3 linked regions of the Kluyveromyces lactis genome follow. The main gene of each other region encodes a partner of the protein of the gene in region 2 in a complex. Links are inferred from orthologs where the notes say so. Each region holds a gene or a part of one and is shown on either strand. Other genes may lie near its edges. The genes, in order: SRB7, MED7 and MED1.

Region 1 (2,474 bases), on a different chromosome or scaffold from region 2:
ATCTTATGGATAACTTCTACGGTATCTGTGGGCGTGTACACTTTCATGGAAGCATATTCCTGGTTATCTTGGAATATTTTTGAAGATACTTTACTTAATACCACTGCAAACCAATTAATGAAAAGAGAAGTCACCTTGGAGGCATTTTTAGGTTGGATCCTGCACTTATACATTTTTACTTACAGCCTGCACAGAAATCTTTCCGTTAACCAGTATATGCCCTCTCTATTATTTGCGGTGATCATTCTTTCACAGTTCTCTGTGTTATAGAACCAAGAATATCACAGCGAGCGGTGGTGGCATGACGGGGCATGCGGATGCTATGTTTAGTGATGATGTTGCGTGTCATTATAAAAATAAACGATGTCAGACAATCTGTCTGACATCGTTTCGGAGAAGAAGAAAAGGAAAAGAAGCTAAATATCTACTATATACCACTTGATACATTAGACACTATGTAAAAGTATTCTTACTCGCAATTTGACGTTAACATGTGACCCAATTTCTACCGAAGATTTCAAAATGATTCCTTTCTTATACTAAGCGTGCTTCTGTCTTCGATTCATTAATGCCAATCGTAAAGTCTTGGGTAAGTGTTCTTACTTTTTCTTGCAAAGCGTCCTTCCTTTTTATCGCGTCTATCTTTTCCTTCTCCATTTTGATCAATTGTTTCTGTAGTGAATCTATCCTATGTAGTTGCTCTTGTGCAGATACGTCTACTCCGGGTAGAGAATCTATTAGAGCCATTATCTGCCTTGTTTTAAGTATGATGTCTGTTGTCAATTCATCTATGTTCTTTTCAAATTCCTTTTCCTCAACAATGTGGGCCTGAGGATCTGACATCTGCTCTTCTGAATCGTTACTTGGTTCAAAACCATGGTTCTTATCGACATAATTTACTGCACCGCAAAATTGTTCCATCATTTGGTCCAAACATATTTGTAACTGGGTTAATCTATCGGTCATTTTTGTACACTCTTCCTTGCCTCTACTGGAGCTGGTTTGTCGCAATATTGCTAACTTTCTTTCACCTTCGAATTCGTTTATATAAATCATTGACTATGATTAAGTTACAAATATTTCAGACAACTTCAAAAGTTTGGTTTAAAACGTTTATGACTGAATAATATACGTAATATGAGAAGAAACTGCCACGATTTGGATATTAATAGACGCTAGGAAACCAATGATGACGGAGGATGACATATATCAACTCATTGTTAAGAATCTTGCAACCTATGATTCTCTATTAGAGCAGTTGCAAGCTAGTTTTGAAGAAGGTTACCATCAGTTGAGCAGAGCGAATTATCACAATAAGAACACACTTCGAGGATCATATGGTAAGGATTACTGGGACGAAACTTATACAGGAAACAGGTATATCTCCATTAATGACAAGCACTCTGTTTCGGAGACTGAAGAGCCGTTGCATATTGCCAATGACGAAGAAATCATTCCTGAGAAAGATGAAGCAACCAATGAGAATTTAAAGAAGAGAAAACAAAGAGAAAAACTATTGGCAAAGGTGAAGAAGGATCCTATATATATGTTCGGAGGTGCCCTTTCAATCCCAAGCTCTTTGAAACAATGTCAATTATCTTTCAAAGCTTCGATGCCGGTACTTTATCAACTACTAGAACTTCGACGTACTCTTAATGGTCTACTTGACGCACTAGGGACTCTGTCAAATTCAGCTTAAGAACTTTATAATTGCTATGGGAATGATCTTATATCAGAGTTAATACAAAAGAAAACTATCTGTACAATTGCTAATTTGGAAAGAACAGTTTACTGGAAACGAAAATAACGTTGGATGGCGCCAATTGAAAGACGTACAATGAGTGTATATCTGTACACATGCAGATTGGGGATTAATTATTAATAAATGAACGACGAAGGGTTAATCTGTATCAAAAAGAGAGCTGATTTCAGTAAATGCAATAACGAGTGAAAGATGGGTATATTTTCTTGAGAACAATTGTGAAAGTGAATGGAATGGCCCTGGCCACGGGTGAAGATCATAGAATAGATTTATAGTAAATGTTTGAATTTCTAGCGTAGGAAAACTCACTAGAGCTTTCATCCAATGACGATCCAGCATCACTAGGCTGTAGATAGCATAATAAAACATCATCAACTGACCTTCTGGTTCTTGGAGAGTCTAAGTATTCTGATGGCCTTAAAATTGGTGTCAGAATTGGATCAGAGTTTCTTTTCAATGAGTGCTTTGGTGTAATTGATTTTTTTGGTACTGATTTCAAGTCATCCAAAAGCATAGTCTCTAAAAGATCCGCAGAATTTACTGGTGTTTCCCATTGGAATTTGTCTATTTTCTTGTCTCCCGTTTCAGGTGTTGATACCTGGAGGATTGATTGTTCTTCTAGCAAAGTTGGGAACTGATAGTTTTTTAGGAAATCGACATCTACTTCACTGGCATCTGATTGAGAATATTTATGCTTCAAATGTGTCTTCTC
Region 2 (2,549 bases):
CCGTTTAGGCCCTACACTCTCTGCACGAGTTATTCCGATCGCTAATTCTTTTTTTGGGTCTTTTTTATAATGCGTAGTGTGGTGTAAGGGAATTGTAGGATTTCTTCCTGTGGAATTAGTTTCTCCGATCCGCCATACCTGAAATCGAAGAGAAATCGGCAATTCTACCCCATTCTGGGAAGACAAAAGAAAAAGGACTTCGCGAGTCATGTAGAGCACGTGACTTGTATTTTAAACTTACTAGGTCTTCGTTACATAATCAGCGTCAGAGAGTTGGTATTAGGACTTTTAGAAATAATGAGCATTAGCTTCGTCCGACATCTTGCTATTAAATTTGTCTTCCCCCTTTGCTTGCATTGGGAGAAAGTTTGCTGATTTTCTTATTCTGTATACCTTATTCGGCGGCTAAATTTCGAATTAAATCTCTCAAGCAGCCGAACTTATGAAAGTTTAATTAAACATCTTGATACCAAAGTCTTCGTTTTTAGAGATCGCCTTAACAACTGGTATGCTGGGATATATATCACAGTTGAGCCAGCTTGGATTCCACTTCATCACAGACTTTATTGATGTGTTCCATTTCCTTGCGTTTATGTTCCAATTGTTCTTCAAATAACATGATTAGCGATTCACGACTTTGGTGCGGTCTATATTCGTTAAGAAGATGGTGAATATTGATGGCTATCACCCTTATCTCGTCAAGTTTTTTCTCATATCTACTTGAATCCACTCCCAATATTCCTATAAGCTCTAGGAAATTTAGTAATAGTGATTTCATTAGTTTTTTCGACTCTTGGATCTTGTTCTCGTAATTTGTCCCACTTTGCGAATCTTGAGGACTAGGTTCAACTTCTGTTGTGGTCCCGTTTTCCAATTCCGTGACAGATTCCCGTTTCCTATATAATTGTTCAATTCCCATCTGTGATAACTCCGGTAGTTCATCCTTAATTTTCCATACATTACCAAATGCTCTGTATGAACCATCCCTGGGTAGTTCTGGCTTCACAAAATATTTCAACTGCTCCCTCTGTTTTGTTGTACATTTCGCTAGTTTTTCTTCATCTTTGCCACATTCTCTAAATAGTTTTGAGTTCTCTTCGGTGAAAAATTGAATGAACGGTGGTGGTGGAGGATACAATGATGATACTTCGTTCTTGTCACTCATGGTCCTTTATATTTTAGCTTCTGACTGGCAGTATTGTCTCTCACTTTCACAATCACTTTCAAAAAAATCTTTTATTGAGAGGGATTTCAATACTTTAAAGGACGGTCGAGGTTCCAGTTTATCTTGAATCTGGACAGATTATGGCCACGGAGGTCTAACACAGGTCTGATATCGCCAACACGCTTTCCTGTGTTCACTGATTTATCACTTGTTTCTGTTTGTGCTGGTTACTATAAGTTGGATTTCCATTTCATGTACAATTTCACATCCGGGTAACAAATGTTTGTATTCACGTGATATGAATATCACTCTTGTCTCTCTTTCAACATGAATTCTAATGTTTCTGAACGTTTGGGCAGTTACGAAAGTCCATAGATCCCATTATAGTCCACAGGGTATATCTTTTGTCATTCATAAGACTACTCTATTCGATCATTAATAGTTTAAAAAAAGGTTTTCACACCCGCGTTTCCAAGGATTGAACGACAGTTAGACCTGGGACTTAGAACGTCTGTTTGTAATCTGTTTTAAAGAAGGAAGGATTTATATTTACCAATAGTAGCTGATCGTTAGGAGATGGCCACGGATTTGGGACCAATAGAGGCACAGAGCGGGACAGAGGGTGCTACTGAGTCAAAGCCCAATTTTGAGATAACGAAATGGACAGCGGTAGCTTTTTGGTCATGGGATATTGACGTTGATAATTGTGCCATTTGCAGAAATCATATTATGGAACCATGTGTAAATTGTCAGCAGGAAGCAACTTTCAACTCGGAGCATGAATGTGTAGCCGCCTGGGGTGAGTGCAACCACGCATTCCACCTACATTGTATTACCCAATGGATCAAGAGCAGAAATGTTTGTCCGTTGGATAATAAACCTTGGAAATTGGCTCGGTGTGGCAAGTGAAGATAGAGTGTTAAGCCTACAAAGATGCATTATCGAAATTTAATATCGCTATTGGACTGTTCGAACCGCAAAAAATGTTACTCAATTTAGATTTCCAATGATTTAATACCAAGCGGATAGTGTGGATTTAATATCTACCATTGGGAAGAAGCTTAGATAATCTGGCTTCTGTGTATATATAGTTACGTAACGAGCTTCTAATGGAATTATCGACAGGTTCGATCGGTCCCAAAACAATAGACAGGACAGCGTTGTTCCATGAATACAACTAGGATGCGTACATTCCTCTTCGATTGCTTCGTTTTTAAGATCAGTATTTGCATTTTGTTTCTAAACATAATGCATATATCATGGGATTTGGTAATACAGTGCGTTTCGGTAGAATTTACCCCAGTGAATCCATTTTGCGCAGTTTTCGTCAAACCTTTTCGCCAGAAGTTCGTAATCAGTACCGTAATTGCCATAAAACTCAATA
Region 3 (3,421 bases), on a different chromosome or scaffold from region 2:
TTAGATGCTAGGGTTCAAAATGTTGCCCAGGGTATCAAACTTGCTCAGGATTTGAAATTATGACTGGTACTGCAAATTCCTGGTCGATATTATATACTCAATAAATACTCTCAATAAGGCAATAAGGATACACTAAACCACCATAGTTTAGCAGATGCAGAGTAGGAGCAACAGCAATCAATACATGGCACTTGCTTCTTCGTCCGTGTAATTTAAAAACGAAAAAAAATAACGACACCAGCAGGATTTGAACCAGCGCGGGCAGAGCCCAACAGATTTCAAGTCTGTCGCCTTAACCACTCGGCCATAGTGCCTAAATTTCTTGAATCATTTATATGAATGTTGCTTAAAAACCTCTTTAAATCAACGCAAATCCACAAATTAATCTTGGGATGAATGAAGCGTATGTCGTCAGCGTTATTTCACCAAAATTTTACTTCCAAAAAATGCTATACTCAAATATTACTACATCATAAAACTGAAGTGAACGTTAATTCTTTTTATATAAGCTTAGATTTCAAGTAGTCTATAAAGGCTTTCCATGCTTGTTCATCATTATCGTTATATGAACAAGTCTGGGCTTTTCCTATATATATATATTCCTCGTTCAGAACAATAGGAATCTGTTTTTCTTTGTCGACGTCCATTTGATCATCATCTTCGGTGTCTGATATTACAGGCTGATCTAAGATCTCCTTCAAAGTGAATTCCGGTATACCAGAATCTCTCAACATCATGGAATCTGTCATACTTGGCCTCCTATTACTTAGCACGCTGGACTTTCTTCTTGGTTTTGGTTGTACACTTCCAGAGTTCGAGGTCGAGATGCTACTGGTAACGTTGTCATGAATAATTAATTTTAAAACTTCTTGGAGAACTATTTTATGCCAATTGTACCACTTCAAAAAATCTGGCAACAATGCTATATCTTCATTGGATATCCTAAACGAATCCATAAGTAACAGATCTGATGTGAGTTCATTCTGTAGTTTAACTGTATGTTTCAAATGCGATTGTTGTGGTAGTTCAAACTTTTTTGGAGTTTCATTCATCTGTATCTCGGTGGTAAGCCACGTTTCTGGGAACGCTACTAGTTCTTCAAATTTGAATACGAGATTAATTCCTTGCGTAGATGCATCAGATGATTCGTTAAGCCAGTCTTTTAGTTTAGAGTCATACACATATTCATAAAAAGATCTATCCGAATTAGGAGCTTTTTCCAAATCCACAGTCATAATCTTAGTTTGACCCTGGGCATCATATATTGATACTCCAAACGTGGAATTTTCATTCATCTTCACTGTAAATGGCAAATGCTGATCACTAATATAGTCTTGTAACATCTTAGGCAGATCAGTATAGTATTTAAATAAATCAAGACTCGTGTGGCCAGATTCGATGTCGATGTTGGAGAAAGAATCCAAGAAAACCAAAAAATTCAAGTTATGATGGAAAGCCTTCAAATCTTGGACGTCAGAAAGTGATGTCAATAGTATATTTTCACCCTTTTCGTTAAAGTAGTTGAATTTATCGAAGTTTGACGCTAAGACCAATTTAACATCTAAAATGGTCTCCATCTCATTCTCATAATCAATATCAATGACCACAATGTTAGATGCAATTGATAACCTTGACTTGGTACTATCCACTTGATCCACAAATGATTCTAATCCTAATGTTTGGCACAGCTTGATAACATTGGGTAGAGTCCGACTTCCTGGTTTATAATTCAAAAGCCTTTCAATCATTTCATCTAGCAATTCCACAAATGCATCAGACATTTTTGATGCTTTTTCCTTTCAATTCAAGACCCCTCAGATCACTACTATGTAACAATAGACTCGGTACGCGATGAATCCTTACTCACCCAATTGTCCTCATGTAATTATCATTGGTACTCATAGCATAGCGCACTTGGTTATTTAATCTTTCGATGTTTCATTAGGAACAATTATTACCCGGATATTCCATAATGTATTACATCGTGTTAAGTGAACGATACCTGGTTTCTAGAGAGAGACAATCAAGAAGTCATTGGTGGGTTGTATCCACCTTTCTACTATCGGTTGAGGAATGTTTGCACTGTGAAATTAAATGTTACAACTGGTGTTGAGAGACACACATTCTCTCAACATCTGGAATTACTTCGACCATTCTTGGCAATTTCTGCACATACACACAAATAACCGTTACTAAGAGAATGATGCAAGAGAGTGTGATTGCTCATGAGCCAGATCCCTCAACATATAGCACCATCCAGGCCGACTAACCGATCAGTTGGTTGAAAGTAGCTTATTCTATATACCATGTCATGTGAACTGTCAGGCGCATATACAAAGATATCATTCCGAAACAGTTAACACACCTCGATAACCTTAATCGATGTGACACATCAACCGATTAAATACACTAGAGCAGAAACAAGGCAGCAAGCAGGCTGCTTACCCTCTTATCAAAGGTCCGTCAAAAGGAAAAATTTTCCGTATTCTCACATTGTCAGGGCCCTGACTGGCTTATCGATTTAGCTTGAACTGAAAAATTTTGATGAGCAAAATGCATATGAAAGAAACAGCAAATGGGATTTAAATACAGAATCATAAATAAGAAAAGGTTATACTCCTACTTTCTGTTAGCACTCAATTGGTTCACTATCTGATCTACCATATTGTCTGGCTTTATTAAATCTTTAGTGGAGTCGAAAAGAAGCAAGTAGAAATCATGTCAGAATTAACACATCCTACGATTGTTGACGGATGGTTCAGAGAAATCTCTGATACCATGTGGCCAGGTCAAGCCATGACTTTGCGTGTGGAAAAGATCTTACACCATGAAAAATCTAAGTACCAAGACGTTTTGGTTTTCAAGTCTACTGATTATGGTAACGTTTTGGTTTTGGATAACGCTATTCAAGTCACCGAGCGTGATGAGTTCTCATACCAGGAGATGATTGCCCATTTGGCATTAAACTCTCACCCAAACCCAAAGAAGGTTTTGGTTATCGGTGGTGGCGATGGCGGTGTCTTGAGAGAAATTGTCAAGCATGATTCCGTCCAAGAAGCTTGGTTATGTGACATTGACGAAGCTGTTATCAGAGTTTCCAAGGAGTACTTACCAGAGATGGCGAAGTCTTATTCCCATCCTAAGGTCAAGACTCATATCGGTGATGGATTCCAATTCTTGAGAGACTACCAAAACACTTTTGACGTTATCATCACTGACTCATCTGACCCGGAAGGTCCAGCCGCCTCTTTGTTCCAACAATCTTACTTCGAATTGTTGAACGGTGCCTTGACTGAGAAAGGTGTCATTTCCACTCAAGCTGAAAGTATGTGGATCCACTTGCCAATCATCAAGGAATTGAAGAAGGCTTGTAAGGAGGTCTTCCCAACTGTTGGTTATGCCTACACCACCATTCCAACTT

The links.
Region 1: the proteins of MED7 (region 2) and SRB7 are in contact, whole or in part, in a crystal structure (PDB 1YKH), measured with the Saccharomyces cerevisiae proteins. The link is inferred for Kluyveromyces lactis from reciprocal best matches to the Saccharomyces cerevisiae genes MED7 and SRB7. Residues at the interface, in NP_014506.1 of Saccharomyces cerevisiae: Tyr112, Gln113, Ile116, Leu119, Arg120, Leu123, Leu126, Leu127, Tyr130, Leu133, Ile134, Gly135, Tyr144, Val148, Ile151, Arg152, Leu155, Ile158, His159, Leu162, Asn163, Tyr165, Arg166, His168, Gln169, Arg171, Glu172, Ser173, Leu174, Ile175; in NP_010594.3 of Saccharomyces cerevisiae: Thr2, Leu8, Gln9, Leu12, Asp13, Met15, Thr16, Phe19, Cys20, Thr22, Leu23, Asn24, Ile26, Asp27, Gly31, Phe32, Ile59, Leu62, Ser63, Ile66, Ile67, Thr70, Ile73, Asn74, Ile77, Asp78, Leu80, Pro81, Gly82, Val83.
Region 3: MED7 (region 2) and MED1 share a complex: the UniProt entries of both Saccharomyces cerevisiae proteins name them as parts of the mediator complex. The link is inferred for Kluyveromyces lactis from reciprocal best matches to the Saccharomyces cerevisiae genes MED7 and MED1.

Annotation. Positions count from the first base shown.
Region 1 is NC_006039.1:1,290,509-1,292,982, reverse strand, and holds SRB7 (Srb7p), read right to left. Parts: upstream 967-2,474; coding exon 535-966; downstream 1-534. Other genes in the region: PMT7 (putative dolichyl-phosphate-mannose--protein mannosyltransferase), read left to right, coding at 1-270; VMA22 (Vma22p), read left to right, coding at 1,187-1,699; GIC2 (Gic2p), read right to left, coding at 2,019-2,474.
Region 2 is NC_006041.1:649,733-652,281, forward strand, and holds MED7 (mediator complex subunit MED7), read right to left. Parts: upstream 1,166-2,549; coding exon 524-1,165; downstream 1-523. Other genes in the region: SCF ubiquitin ligase complex subunit HRT1, read left to right, coding at 1,742-2,074; prephenate dehydratase PHA2, read right to left, coding at 2,423-2,549. UniProt on the Saccharomyces cerevisiae protein: Component of the Mediator complex, a coactivator involved in the regulated transcription of nearly all RNA polymerase II-dependent genes.
Region 3 is NC_006038.1:818,670-822,090, forward strand, and holds MED1 (Med1p), read right to left. Parts: upstream 1,782-3,421; coding exon 501-1,781; downstream 1-500. Other genes in the region: YSA1 (ADP-ribose diphosphatase), read left to right, coding at 1-63; SPE3 (spermidine synthase), read left to right, coding at 2,719-3,421. UniProt on the Saccharomyces cerevisiae protein: Component of the Mediator complex, a coactivator involved in the regulated transcription of nearly all RNA polymerase II-dependent genes.